Diceros bicornis minor: one gene and its partner. The protein of the gene in region 1 purifies or fractionates together with the protein of each later gene. This does not show direct contact. Links are inferred from orthologs where the notes say so. Each region holds a gene or a part of one and is shown in the gene's direction. Other genes may lie near its edges.

Region 1 (7,836 bases):
AAGAGCTCAAGAAGCTGGCTGCCAACTGCTGGCTGCCAACTGCTGGCTGCCCAGCAGGGGTGGGCCACCCTAGTCCCCCTAGGGTCACTCGTGTCAAGGATCCGCCCAGCCTCCCAGGATGGAGTTTAGGCCCTGGCTGGGACCCAGCTGGCTCCCGGCCACTGGACCGAGAGAACCTAGGGTCTGCTGAGGTAGGCTCGGGTGTAAAACCAAGAAAAGGGCCTCCCTCCTACACCCTGGGGCTTACGAATCACCAGGCCTTTGGGGGAGTGCCAATGTCATCATGACACAGCAAGAATCTTATCAGCCCAAGGGGGAAGGCAGCCCAGAAACGTCCGGAGGAGAGGGAGGGCCTGAGCACCCATCGAGCCCATAGCCCTTGTGGCCCAAGTGGGGAGACTGAAGCCCAGAGAGGCGAGGGGCTCACTGCGGACCCTGCAGGGAGTCAATCCTGCCCAGTGGACTCCCAGTCCTGGTCTCTCTTTCTCTCACTCCTATTCCTCTCTCCACTCCCTGAGGTGGGGAGAATCGCTGAGCCCGCTGGTCGAGTCCTATCAGATGGGGGAGGACATGATCTGCCAGGCCCAAGGTTCCTCCCCCCATGCTGGTCTGTAAGGAGAAACCGGTTTCCTTCATTCCAAGGCTTTCTGGACTAGGATAGTAAGTACCTCCACTCCCTTCCTGGCTGGGGGTGGGAGTCCTAAGGAGGGCGGAAGTGGCCACATAGCAGGGGGAACAGAGAGCAGCTCAAAGCCCATTGGGTAACTCTGTGAGCCAGCATCAGGAGGCCCTGAGGAAGGAAGCTGGGCGTGCCGCTGAGGGTTGGGTAAGTGGAAGAGGAGGAGGAAGGGGCAGAGAATGGCCACGTGGGCCCAGCCTGCCCCACTTGGGGCTCTGTGTCTGCTCTTCCCTTTGTGTGGTGTGCTCCCCGCCGGCCTTGGCTCTGCAGGCCTCTCTGCAGGCCCTCTTCATGAGACCTGTGTGCTGGGGGGCTGGGGACACAGGATCCTGTCTGCGTCTTCTGTCACATGCTCCACTCTGAACTCTTCTTAGGCTAACTCACCTTAGGTCCTGGCCCCCACCACAGAGGCCCCAAGAAGAGGGCAGGGCCCATGCTCGCTGTGCTGCAGGGGAGGCACTTGGTCAGCATTTGTTGGATGGAGGAAGAGAGACCTCACTGGTCTCCCATAGCAGCAGGTTCTGGTAGAGTGCGCCCCCAGCACTACTCTGCCCACCTCCTACCCAGACGAAGGAGACAGTGAGGCAGTGGAGGCCAGACTGTGGGAGCTGTTCTAGGTGCTGCCTGAGCGTGGGCGGCCCACCCTCTCCAGCCCCCTGGAGTAGAAGGGAAAAACAAACAAGGAGGCTCTTCTTCAGAGAACCCTTGCTCTCCCCCACTCGACCCTGCTGGAGCAGCACTTCCCATTTCTGCTCTGGAAGCCTCCGGTTGTCACTCCAGAGCAAAGGAGAGCAAAGGGAAACCCTACTCATTGCAAAGAAACAAAGTTGCCCAACCCCAAGCTGGCCACAGGCAAAGGCAGTGAGGACTCACAGAATCAGCTTGGTAGAGCCCGAGGACCTTCGGCACTTGTTTCAAAAGCCCTGGTTTGCTATGGAAACACTGAGGTTCAGAGAAGGGAAGACACTTGCCCTAGGTCACACAGCAAGCTTGGATGCTCTCAATGGGGCACTTAAGAGTTGAGGGCCTGGAGTCACACGCCATTTCTTGCGGCCTGGCATGCTCTGTAGGAGCATCCTGTGATAGGCTGGCATGGAGACGAGGGAAGGAGGAAAAATAATCCTGAGTTACTTTCTCTACCAACCTATTTCTTGGACAAAGGACCTAATGGTCAGAGTCCTAGGTGTTAAGGTCTGTGGCCAACAGAGGTATGGCTCCTCCAAGGGGATGCGGCTGAGGCCAGGGTAGAGGCCAAGCGTGTCCCCTGTCTGCTCCTCCTGGGTACAGGGCATCAGAAGACACTGCTTGGGGCAGCCCTCCCTTCCCTCCTACTGGCAGAGTCCTTCTACCCTGTACTGCCTCCTGCTCTGCATTCTGGCTCTCCTTTTCCAAGTCTGGATCAGAATCCCAAAGTTTCCAGGGAGTAGACTCTGCAAAGGGTGGTGGCAGGTTATGATATATGAACAAAGAACCAAGTTCCTCCAGAGCTGAAGGGACTGTGCTGTGGTAGGCACAGAGAGATAAGACCTGCCCTGTCAAGAACTCTCTAACTTTGGTGGAACTCTTGCTCAAGATTACACAGTAAGTTACTGGCAGAGGTGATTATACAATGGTTAGCAGGTTCTTGGTCATGTCCAGGGTTAAAAGTGAGAAGAAACCACTTTTCTTCAAGATGAAACCCTGGCAGCTCATCTCAGCAGCCCCTGCACATGTCTGGCCACCTGGCAAATCTCGTTTCCACACGGTACGCCGGGAAGTGCTTTAGTCTGAGGGTCATGGCTTGACTAGGACCCACTCTCCCTCTCCTGTGCCCACTTGCCATCACAAACCGTCACTGTGCTTCTACTCTATCAGAGCAAAATGGGGCAAAGAGACAATGCTCAAAGAAAGGTCGAGTGTTTGTCCCCAGGGAACTTGATGTGGTAGAGAAAGACAAGGTGGAGATCGGGCCTCAGAACCTGCCTCTGGAACTAACTCACTGTGTGACATCTGTCAAGTCACAAACAGGTTTGAGAAAAACACTCACAGAATGACTAGGCTCCCTGTTTGCATTTCAGTGTTCTCCGTGGAGAAGGACTTCCGGGCTCCAGGACAGTCAATGGCTGTCCTATTAATGTATATAGTCAATGGCTGTGCGTGGACTTCGGAAATGCCTCCTAACGTGTATATACCGTATGGTGCTGGGATGATAGTGGCACACAGGCAGGAGCAAGACGGAGAGCCCAACCAAGCAGAGCCCACGTGGCCCAACAACAGTCAGTTGGGAAAGCCCAGGCATTGAGCAGGAAGGGACCTTAAGCAATGTCATGCTCTAAGTGTGGGTTTTAAGATGATGGTCCTCGGGGAGACTCACCGATGCACCCATGATGATGAAGATATGTGTATCGGACTGATGGAAGGCATCACCTTGGTACAGCTCTTCCCGCAGGATCCCGCACACCTGGGTCCGGCTCAGGGCCACCTGTTCTGCCATGATGCTCTCTGGTGGAAGAAAGGCTCATTGACAAGGCACAAGAACATCAGAGCATTGAGAAGATAGCCCCTTTCTCGAGGAGTCGTTTGGGCTCTCACCCAGCTGACGCCTGATTATTGAAACCACTCGCTGTGAATGGCCAGGGAGCAGGATGGTTGGGAAGTAAGAAACTGCTGGCTCTGGGCTTCAGCCATACTCCCCAAGCAGCCTTCTTTCACGGTGTACAATACAAAATTGCCCAAAGCCCTAGTGGATTCCAGCTAGAGCCTCAATTCTGAGGGACCAAGCAAAACCCTGCTGGACATCGCATGACCTGCCTAGGTCCATCGCACCCCGGACTCAGGCAGAAACTCCACAATGAGCTGGAGCATGTTAGACCGTGCAGATGATGGAGTGCAGCTCCAGCTCTCTTTCTGCCAGGCTGAGACCCTGGCAAGTCCTCTCGAGATCTCAGTCTCCTCAGGGTTCCAACGGCAGGGATGCAGGGGGGGCAGTGGGATCGGTTAAGGCCGTCTCGGTTTTGCCCCCGCTCCCAAGCATGGCAAATCAAAGGGCCTAAGGTGCCGCACATCCCTCCCTCCGCCGGCGCGGCGCCCGCCCACTCCCTTACCTGCACCTTACCGCCGCCGCCCGTCGCACTCGCAGCCCCGGAGTTTCAGCCGTTTCCGGGGGCTGTGCCCCGCCGGCCCACTTAATCAGCGGGGGCGGGCGCCTGGTCTCAGCCGACCCGCCTCAGGCGAGGCGCGCGGGCGGTGCCCCCACAGGCCCCTCCCTCCAGGGGCGGGGCCCGGTGAGGGAGCAGGCAAGTGCGCGCGCATCCCAGGCTGGCCCCCGCGCGAGGCCCCCCCGCCCTTGGCTCGCCCCGCCTCTTGGGCACCTGCACCGGCCGCCCGGCCGCGGGCCGCCTGCTGTACCCGCCGCCGCTGAGCCGCGTCCCGGATGCGTCGCGGTTCCGCGTGCAGCTCCGCGCCGTTCGCCCGAGTCCCCATCACCGGCTCGGCTCAGCCCCGCCCCTACAGGCCGGCTTTCTCGCAGGCCCCAGGCGGCCCTACACCCTCGCGGAAGGCTCCACTTCCGCTGGCAGCGTGGCCACGCCTCCTTGACCCAGGCTATAGGCGGGGCCATCTGAGCCCCGCCCTCTCACCGGACGGTCGCCCGCTCGGTCAGACCGGCCCTGTTGGGCAGCCTCGTCGTGGCTCCTCCCCTTGCGGGGCCGAGGCAGCCGAGCACGCGGAGGCTGGATGCTGTAGACCGAGGGACAAGGGGCAGTGTGGGTCGTGACGCCCCGAAAAGTAGCAGGTGGTGGATATCACTGGGGAGCCTCCTGCAGGCCGACCGAGACTGGTGGGCTCGGGCTTCCCTCTGGAGCAGCCTCCCTAGTACTTCTCGCGGGCCTCCTGGGCGGGGGCGGGGCTTCCCTGTTTTACTTCCGGATCCCACAGTACGACACCGGAAGCAGGAAGTGGGGATTTCGGCAGCGGGAGGAGGGAAAGGCGACCGCGGAACTGGGACTTTCTCGGAGGGACGGGGCCCGAGGAGCGCTCGTGGCCTGTCGCTTCTGTCCATCTCACGTCGGACCGATTCTGCTGACAGGTGTGGTCCTCTTCCCCGAAGGCAGGGTACCATCACTGGGCGTTCCACCGCCTCTGAGACTCTCCCGGACGTCCAGGCTTTTCTCTCCTTTTGGGCCCCCGCCCATTTCTGCCACCCGCATCTAGAGCACCGGCCAAGGCGGGGCGATGCAGGATCAGGTTTCTTTGGCGGTGAGCAGGACTGTTCCTGCCTCTCCCTCCACCGCCGCTGTGGAGTCTGATCACACCCCTATTTCGTGGGTGACTCTTCTAGTTCGAAGATATTTTCTGTTCATCAAACTTGACTGTATTTGAGGTTGTTAAGTTCTTTAGAAAGACCTCAAATATAGTTTGGCAGCTAAGTATCTTACCTCATGTGCCTCAGTTTGCTCACTTTGCAAAACGATTAATGTCTACCGAATCTCATACCATTTCTGTGATTTGAGGATGAATGGGCCGTCGTGGCACATTGGAGGAAAAGCTGGAGCAGAGTGAGCAAGGGGAGAATACTTGGAGAGGAAGCAGTGGGGGACCAGATGGTGCAGGGCCTTGTAGGCCGTCAAAGAGACTGGCTTTTACATGGAGGACAATGAGGAACCATGGTATGGATCTGAGTAGAGGAGGGACGTGATCGTAATTACTTTTTAGGCTTATTGTTCTGGCCTCGGTGGGGAGAACAGACTGTAGTAGGCAAGGATAGGAGCAGGGTGATCTGTTAAGAGGTTATTGCAGTAATCCAGGTGAGAGTTGATGGTGCTTTGAGCATTTTATTATGAAAATTTACAAAGATGCACAAAAGTAGAAAGACTAGTATGGTAAATCCCGTGGAACCACCTCCGGGCTTCAACAGTTACCAACTCATGGCTAATTTTAATTTATATCCCTCACAATTGTCTCCCATTATTCTTTTCAATAACAATTTTATTGAGATATAATTCACATACCACACAATTCACCCATTTAAAGTGTACAATTCACTGGTTTTTAGTGTATTCACGGAGTTGTGCAACCATCACTACTAATTCCAGAACATTTTCATCACTCTAAAAAGAAACTCCGTACCCTGTGGCTATCACCCACATCACCCTGTCTCCCCCAGCTCTAAGCATCCACTAATCTTTCTGTCTCTATAGATAATTTTCCTATTCTGGACATTTCATATAAATGGAATTACACACTGTGTGGTCTTTTGTGAATTGTTTCTCTCTGCAATGTTTGTCCATGTGAATGTAGTAGATTTTGTTTATTCCTCAGTTGATGGACATTTGGGTTGTTTCCACTCTTTGGCTGTTATGAGTAACGCTGCTGTGAGCATTCATGTGTAGACATGTGTTTTCATTTCTTTTGCATAGATACCTAGGAGTTCCCCCATTATTTTGAAGTGAATTTCAGACACCACCTGACAGTGTTTCAGTATGCATCTCTAAGAAAATATTTAAAAAATCATAGCTAAAATACCACTCTCACACCTGAAATAGTTAACATTAATTGTTTAGTGTCATCAAATAGATTCTGGGATACATTTTAACATTTTTTTTAAACTTTATTTTTCCCCCCAAATCCCCAGTAGATAGTTGCATGTCATAGCTGCATATCCTTCTAGTTGCTGCATGTGGGACTCGGCCTCAGCATGGCCGGAGAAGCGGTGCGTTGGTGCGCCGCCGGGATCTGAACCTGGGCTGCCAGCAGCCCAGCAGCGGAGTGCACGCACTTAACCGCTAAGCCATGGGGCTGGCCCCTGGGATACATTTTGACAGGATTTCCTGATGGATTAGATGTGAGCTGAGAGAGAGAGGGAGAGAGGGAGAGAGGGAGAGAGGGAGAGGGGGATGGACGGAGGGAGGGAGGGAGGAGTCAAGAAGGACTCCGAGGTTTTTGTCCTGATAACTGGAGGATGGATTGGCCACCAGCTGACAGTAAGGTAGGCTGTGGGTGGTCCTGGCTTTGGGGGACTCGCAGGAGTGCAGTGTTGAAAAGGTTAGTTTTAAGAGGACTACTAGATGCCCAGGTGGAGATGTTGAGTCTGATACGTGAGTCTGGAGTCCAGGAAACAGGTCTAATTTTAGGGCATCAAGAGCATTAGAATGGGGGTTAAAGCTGTGAGGCTGGATGGAATTAGTCCTGGAGTGACTGTAGTTAGAGAAGAGATCCCAGAACAGAGCCCTGGAGCACCACAACGTGAAGGGATGTGTTGATGAGGAGGATCCACTGCAGGAGCAGCCAGTGAAGTAGGAGGAAAACCAGGAGAGTGGGCTGTTCTGTAAGCTGAGGGAGGGGTCAGTGGTTGGTTAAATACTGCTGATGGGTTAGTGGGGTGTTGAGGATCAGTGTCATAGTCAAACGTCCAAGTTTATTCAGTGTTCAAAGTCTCCTTCCTCAGCTCAGGCCTGCTCCTGGAAACTTGTATTTGGATTGTCCACCTCCTCCAGGTAGTCAGTCTTCTTGGGCAGGATTTAAAAGGGCTCTAGGCTGGTGCTGTCCCACGTGGGCTGCCTCTATTCTAGTTCAGAAGAGAACGCAAACAGCCTGTCTCTCTGCTCTGCTGTCTTAGTCTGCGAGGCCAGCTCTCACTTTCAGATTACTTAGCACATGTCAGATACTAGATGTCCCCTTCGGCCCCCCAGTTCCAGGGAACACTGATCAGATTCTGCGTGGTCTCTTCAAAGCCCCTCTGACTAGATCTATTAATTTCTTAGGGCTGCTGTAAGAGATGACCACAAGCTGGGGGCTTAAAACAATAGAAATTTCTCCTTTCCCAGTGCTTGAGGCCAGAAGTTTGAAATCAAGGTGTTGGCAGAGCTGTGCTCCCTCTGGAGGCTCTAAGGGAGGACCCTTCCTGCCTCTTCCAGCTTCTGGGGGCCCCAGGTGTTCCTCGGCTTGTGGCCACATCCCTCCAGTATCTGCCTCTGTTTTCACGTGGCCTTCTCCTCTGTGTCTGGATCTCCTCTTCCATCTCTTATGAGGACACTTGTCATTGCATTTAGGGCCCACCCTACTCCAGGATGATCTCATCTCAAGATCCTCATTTAATTACATCTCCAAAGACCGTTTATCCAAATAAGGTTGCATTCACAGGTTCTAGGGGTTAGGAAGTAGACGTATCTTGTTGGGGG
Region 2 (7,477 bases), on another chromosome or scaffold:
ATAATTGTCACTAAAATGCAGGGCAATGTAATTTATGTCCACTCACTGGGATTTACTACTGAGTAAATATTTGGCCTTTTCTTTGCTTTTGTAGTTTTATCAGGATATCAAAAAATTACCTGTTTTCTCCCAATAAATTTATTTAAGCTAAATTTTATTTTATAAGCCATCCTTGTATTTGCCTTTATGAAACAGTGTGGATAATAAATGCTTCTTCATAGTATACTTCCTGTAATCATTTTGAATGAGGCACATGGTTTTGTTAAGCACTGAATGATGTCATTGCCTCAAGTTTATATGGGACATTTTATGAAATCATTCTGAATGAATGTTTGGACGGTTACCAAAGAGGCCTAGAAAGAAATGTTTTTCCTTTTTTTACACGCACTCTGGTGGTAGGAAATTCCCTTTTATTCATGAGCCTCCCCTAGCCTGAGACCTCAGGGACTTGGCCTTTTCTGACCTTTGAGAATGAGCTCCCCGGATATCAAGCCTCCCTTTGTCTGCAGTTACTGCATTACATTTGATTCCTGTTTGAGAATAAGTAATATGTGTGCGGACACATAGGAAGAAGCTACATGTAGCTTATCTGCCGTGAGTGTATGGGGAATACTCATTCTACAGGAAATGGAAATCCTAACCAGACCTCCTGGTGGTGAACCCCTTGCAGAGACGCTCGTAATCCTTGGTACCAGCTTCTTAGCGATCCCCTCTTTTAACTCTGTGACAAAGTTGAAATAGCTGTTTTTTATATTGGGTGAAGTGTAACTGCTCACTTTCAAAAATTTATGCATTTGAGGATTGAAAATAGATCTGATTATGGCAAGAGGATGTGACTCGTGTATTTTGTCAGGGTTGTCTATTAATATATGTGAGCCAGTGTTAAGGAAATTACTTGGAGTTCAAAACAGCTCTGGCTAGCCACTGTCAAGTGTTAAATGATATTTTGGCATTGCATAGTTGATAGCAGTTGCTTATGGTGTCTTTCTTGGATTAAATGTTTTCATCAAGATCTAATCTGTTGTCAGTGAGATCTTGAAACTAACACAGGTGCAAACTTATAACATCTCTGCAAAATGGGTATATTTGAATAGTTGTACAATGATTTCTGTTGTTTACATTGACTTTTTACAGTTAATTTTTGGAATAGATAAGGTATTAATATGGTTCAGAACTAAAAACTCTGAGAAGATACAAACTAACAAATCTCCCTCCCGCTCCACTCCCCCCACTTGGGGTCCCCATGGCTCTGAGTAGGTAGACGGCTGCATCCTCTCCTGGGTTCCTTTTCCAATATCTCTTTATGCAAACACAAGTAGATATTTCTATTTTCCTCCCTTTTTTACAGCAAGAATGTTTTCTTCATTTAACAGTACCTTGGACGTTTCTCCGGATCTGTACGTCAAGCTCTTCCTCATTTTCCCCCAGTGAGTGACTCTTGTAAGCAGATTGAAGGTGCATATCTGTGGAGAAATTATTGACATGAAGTTGTAAGAAAAGCACATTTACAATCTATAGCAACGTTTTTAAATAATACTTTGGAAATAAATAAAAATAGTAAAATTGAAAATAATAGAAGAAGTCTTTTCTGGAACCTTTCTAAGCATTCCAGTGGTTGGCTGTGGGTTGGCTCCCAGCCCAGCCGACTAGCGCAGGGACTGGACTAGCGCTGGGCCCCGGGGCCTGCATGCAGGCGGGAAGGCTTGTGTGCGAGTAGCTTGGAGTCACGTTTCCTCCTCCCTCTCCCTCTTATTGACCAGATTTTATTAAATCATTTGGAATTTTAGTTCTCTTACTGGGTTAACCAGATCTCTCTCTTTAAAAGAGTTTAGACTGTATGTGTACTCAAGTAAGAGAATGTGCTTAGAAGTGTGTGTTAAATGAGCATTTCATTTTTATTTTTCCAAGAAGAAAAGCTACCTAAAGAAAATAGCTTAACAATCCTGTAGAACATTCCAGTTTTCATCCTTATGTCTTCCCCACGTTCTGAATTAAAGTAGAGTCCTTCCTTACCATTCGTAAGAGAAGATAAAATGGATCTTTTACTGCAACGTTTCTGCTGTTGGTATTAAATAAAACAGCGTGATTCCAGTGTAGTGACTCTTCATGTTTTCTTTAGACCTCACAGCTACAGTGTCAGCAGTGTCCTGGGTCTCCTTCTCTGTTTACCACTCTTGTGTCTCTTGAGTTCCTTTTCTGGAATTCTTAAGCAGGCACCTCCCCACCCCACTCCAACAAAAGAGTGTAGGGGTGTCAGAATGTTGTTTTTCTTTTGCACTTGAGTAATAATCTTCACAATAGAATAGAATTCTATGAAAACAAAATACTTTAGAATTCTAGGAACAAAATACTTTTTTCTTGGAACTTTCAAAATACTGCTCCATTGTTTTCTAGTCTTGTTGATTCTGCTGTTAAGACCTTCTGTTGAGTTTGTAAATTTAGTAATTTAAATTTAATAATCTTCTGATTTCTGTGGACACTTCCTTGTTCTCTAGTAGGTCCTTTTTCTTGGCATTCTGTTTATTTTACCTGCTAGAATTGCTTTAAGGATACAAATCAGAATTTTTTTTAAGTTCTTTTCTGTTTCTGTGTTCTGTTTACTCAATCATTTTCCCGTAATTTTAATTCCCCCTAATTTACCCCTCACATGTCTTGTGATTGTTTGTTGTCCATTCATATATGAGGGCTGAAATCATATTTTAGTGGGTGTGTTTCCTCGGCAGTTAAGGTGGTTGCTGTTTCTCCAGCAGGATTCTCTTGTGAAAATTTTCATCACCCGCAAAAGTTCTTTTGTGCCTCTTTAATCAGACCTTCTCCAGACCTTGACAACCACTGATCTGTTTTCTGTGCCTATAATTTTGTCCTTGAATGTTATATAAATGCAATTAAACAACATTTGTAGCCTTTTGAGTCTGACTTCTTTCACTTAGCATGATGCTCTTTTAGAGTCATTGAGTAGTATTTCGTTGTGTAGACTACCACATCCACCACTTGATGGACATTTGGGTTGTTTCCAGCTTTTGGCGGTTATGAATAGAGCTGCTGTAAACATCAGCATACGGGGTTTTTTTGTGGACATAGGTCTTCAGTTCTCTTGGATAAGTACCTAGGAGTGGCATTGCTGGGTTGTATGGTAAGTAACTTTATAAGAACCTGCCAGACTCTTTTCCAGAGTGCCTGTAGCATTCTGCATCTGTATCAGCCACGTAGGGAGTTCCAGTTGCTTCACGTCCTTGCTGGCACTTGTGTTGTCAGACATATATTCTCCTAGTCTGTGGCTTGTCTTTTTAATTTTCTCCTAAGTTTTAAGGTTTACATCTAGACTTAAAGATCTTTATCTGCCGTGGAACTGTAAAGAATACTAGTCAGCAGTGTCATTTCTTCACACACACCTCACCCTGACCTCTCTTCTGCTTCCTTTTCACTTAAAAGATACCTTTCCCTTCCAGTGCTTGGTGTTGTGCCTAAGTGACTTTAATATAAGCTTTACCCCCAGGTTGGAGATGATAAGACAGTTTAAGCTCACTGAGCTCACAGTGAAAGTGTTTCAGAAGACCATTTCTAGATTGTTTTGGGACTCTCCTTATTTTCACCATTACTATCAGTGCACAGTTTCTTTGTGGACTTTTGGAAGTATATGTAAATATTTTATGAAGATATTTTGGTTTTAAATCTGTATTTACAGTCTTGGTAGCTATTGCCAAAGAGCCTTCCAGAAATATTTTCCCCAGAAATATCAGTGCCTTCTTACCGATAGGGTACGAGAGTTAGTTGCCATTTATTCACATTTATGGTAATAGTGGGTATTATCCATTTGTATAATAATAAGCTATTGGTTATATGTGAATCACATGCTTGTAGATTTCCCTCCAAGTTACTGGACTATCGGCTCCATTAGAGTGGAGGAATCACAACTCTGCTGTACCATTTTTATCCCCGGTGCCAATGATCGTGCGTGGCACTTAGTAGGCTCTAAATGTTATGGAGTAAGTGAATGAGTAACTAGCGAGTGATTTTCTGTTGTAGAAATCTAGGCATACTGATTCCTTGTCTAGGACTTATTTCTTGAAGAACTGTTAGGCAGTTGCCAAACTTGCTTCCATGTAGTTTAGCCAGTTGTTTTTCCATCAAGTCACATTTAGAATTCTCTGAAATGAGGATTCACAACTGTGCTTGTGTCTATTGAATAATGTTTATCTGTGCGTCATGTTCCAGTACACTTTTAAGATAAAAATCACATATATTTTTAAAGATCATTCATCAGGATCATTAACATTTTGCTCTTTTGGATTTCCCTATCTCCCCATTTGAACCACATTTTCTGCTTTTCTTTAGTATGTATGGCAGAGAAAACTGAAAAGGAGGTAATGACATGAGTCAGCAGAAAGGTAAATGGAACAACTGGAAATGTTTGTGAACCAAAAAAATTCTCCTGCAAGCAGGACTCTGCTTGTAAGTTTGGTGTACAAAATCGACCTATTTCAAAATAAGCTTTATCAACTTGAGTTTTCTTTGACAATTTATGGAGAAGGCTAAGTAGTATTTTCATGTTTGTAATTGGAAAATACTACACCTAGAAATCTCAGTTTGCAGACCCTTGTTTTGTTTAACCGAGAAAGGGTCTTGGGGATTCTGGCCCAAATATTTCATAGGATTATTATAATATATAGCATTTTTTCCAAAAGTATATAATTTGTGCATTTTATGTGATCAGTGATTCTCTTTTTTTCAGTATATTTTTGGAGATTTTAGCCCTGATGAATTCAATCAGTTCTTTGTGACTCCTCGCTGTTCAGTTGAGGTAAGACAAAACTTTGTTTTGTTGAGTATATGTGTAGATAAAATTAATGGTTGTTTTACTTTTTATTAATTTATGCTTTTTGATAAAGAATTCAAGTGTACAGAAAAGTGCAGAGACTAATATGAGAAATGCCTGAACCCACCAACCAGATTTGACTAATATTAACATTTTGCTATATTTATAAATGGCAAAACATTACAGATACAGTTGAAGCCTCCATTGTACCCCTCTCCTGTCTCATTCCCTTCTTCCCCAGAAATAACAACTCGGCTAAAATTGGTAAGTTTTTTTTCCTGGCTATGGTTTTTGCCTTTTATTACATATACCTGTGTTGTGTAGCAACAGATAGTACGTTGTATTGTTTTATGTGGTTTAAAATGTCACATAAATGGTTTCATATTATATTCATCATTTTGTAGTTTTTTATTTTAAGCTAACGTATTCTTTAGATTTATTTATGCAGATACATTTTGTTCTTGTTCTTTGATTTTAATTGCTAAATACCATTGGTGGAACATACCATGATTTATTTACCTTTTTTTCTGTTGAAGACCATTTAGGTCTTTAGTTCTTCCACTATTACAAAAATGTTGCGATAAACATATTTTGTCATGTCTCCTCATGCTCCTCTGTGTTTCTCCAGAATATATTCCTAGGGATGGAATTGCTGGGTTCTGCAATTTCTGTCTCTAGTTTTACTAGAGACAGCTGATGTTCTTTTTAAGTGGTTTTAACAGTCTCCGTTCCCATCAACAGTGCACAAGAGTTTTCTTGATCTTATTTTTTTTTTTTTAATTCTTGGTAATTCTCAGTATAGGCATATATAAAATTTTTGTTAACCTGATGGGTAATAAATGGATTCTCATTGTTTTAATTTACATTCCCAGATTACAAAGAGTTGAGCACTATTTCATTATTTTCATATGTCCATTGGCAGTATAGACTTCTGCTTCTATGAATTATCCCGTCTGTATCCCTTGTCCGTATTTTTTATCAAATGGCATATCTTTTTTCTTATTGATTTATAGGAGTAATAATCTTCGGTTTTGCATATTATGGGTATCTCTTCCTGGCATGAGGGCTTTTAAACTTCATATGTGATGCTTTTTTTCTTTTTTTTGGTGGGTAAGGGCAGTGCATTTTTATCTTTATAATGTCAAATACATTGATTTTTTTTTTCCTCATGGTTTGTGGATTTTTGGTTTTTAATAAAATATCTTTAAGAAATTCTTCTCTTCCCTGAGGTAATAAAGACATTTGTTTTCTTCTAAAAGTTTTAAGGTTTTTGTTTTCACTTTAGTATGTAATATAACTGAAATTGAGGTACTGATTTGTGTGTGTCAGGTAGGGATCTAACTTCCTCTCCCCCATGGCAGTGTGAGTGGCACTGAGAACTCAGCCCTTATTTGTAGTGCCCCCGCGTCAGGTCGCACATCTCCATATATGCTCAGTTGGTTGTGGGTCCCCTGTTGTGTGGGCCTTTTGCTTTATCTCTGTATCAATACCCCATGTTTTAATTGCTTCAGCTTTATAATCAGTCTGATGGTAGGACACACACCCTCTTCTTATACTTACAAGTATTTTGGCTCTCCTTCATCCTTAACTCTTTCTTAGGAATTTATGATCAGTATGTCAAGTTTCATGAAAAATCCTATTGAAATTTCAGTTGAAATTGCATTAAAATTATAGATAATTTGTAGGAGAATTAACATCTTTATGATAGGTTTTCTAAACATGATTGTGGTGTATTTCTCCATTCATTGAGGTCTTCTTGTATGTCCACTCCTTATGTGATTAATGGTTTCTGTTTTAGTTTAGTAAAAACTTATTTGGAACATTTTTCAGCTTTATGTTTTAAATATGAAAACTGTTTAAATTGCTTTGAAAAGGAAAAAAGGGGGGAGAAGTAAGTACATCAAGTTAAATCTTAGTTAACTTTTAGATCCCTTAATTTTAAGATTTTATTTATTTATTTTTCCCCCAAAGCCCCAGTAGATAGTTGTATGTCATAGCTGCACATCCTTCTAGTTGCTGTATGTGGGACACGGCCTCAGCATGGCCGGAGAAGCGGTGCATCGGTGAGCGCCCGGGATCCGAACCCGGGCCGCCAGCATCGGAGCACGCGCACTTAACCGCTAAGCCACGGGGCCGGCCCTAGATCCCTTAATTTTAGAACCCCTGATAGAGATACACAGTTGTCTGTTGGCACATGTATTAAATATTTATGTAGGGAGTTCTGTTATTTGATAAAATGGGGTAGGAGAAGCTGACTTCTTAGCATAGGAGTCAAAGGCCAGGGTTGGGGTCTGAGTGGGCCACTTACATGTGACCTTGGCAAGTCCTTCCCTCTTCACCTTGACTGCTTCAATTCTAAATTTTTTTTTAGGGTTGTGGAGGTAGGGTTAAATGAGAACATACTGAAAGCAGTATTTACACTATACAGATGTAGGAAAGATTTGTTACTTGTTTTCTTCTCCTTCACTTTAGGAAAAAGAAGGAAATCAAAGAAAATAAAGCTTATATTACATTTCATTTTAGAAAATGGGTAAATTCAGTTCAGCGTCATCTCTATCTCTTGTGCTCATTGATGTTAACAGTTATGATTTTAAGGAATCTGAGGATATGAGCTAGGAAATAGTGAAAGCTAAATTATTTATTGTATTTCCTAAGGCAATA

The links.
Region 2: the proteins of IKBKG (region 1) and USP10 purify together in Homo sapiens (affinity purification with western blotting; 3 studies listed by BioGRID and IntAct, with this or other methods). This does not show direct contact. The link is inferred for Diceros bicornis minor from reciprocal best matches to the Homo sapiens genes IKBKG and USP10.

Annotation. Positions count from the first base shown.
Region 1 is NC_080781.1:138,464,761-138,472,596, forward strand, and holds the start of IKBKG (NF-kappa-B essential modulator), read left to right. Parts: upstream 1-4,770; 5' UTR 4,771-5,322; coding exon 5,323-5,325; intron 5,326-7,836. Other genes in the region: G6PD (glucose-6-phosphate 1-dehydrogenase), read right to left, coding at 3,033-3,160, 4,030-4,141. UniProt on the Homo sapiens protein: Regulatory subunit of the IKK core complex which phosphorylates inhibitors of NF-kappa-B thus leading to the dissociation of the inhibitor/NF-kappa-B complex and ultimately the degradation of the inhibitor.
Region 2 is NC_080771.1:33,698,328-33,705,804, forward strand, and holds the start of USP10 (ubiquitin carboxyl-terminal hydrolase 10), read left to right. Parts: upstream 1-4,396; 5' UTR 4,397-4,407; coding exon 4,408-4,452; intron 4,453-4,732; coding exon 4,733-4,801; intron 4,802-7,477. UniProt on the Homo sapiens protein: Hydrolase that can remove conjugated ubiquitin from target proteins such as p53/TP53, RPS2/us5, RPS3/us3, RPS10/eS10, BECN1, SNX3 and CFTR.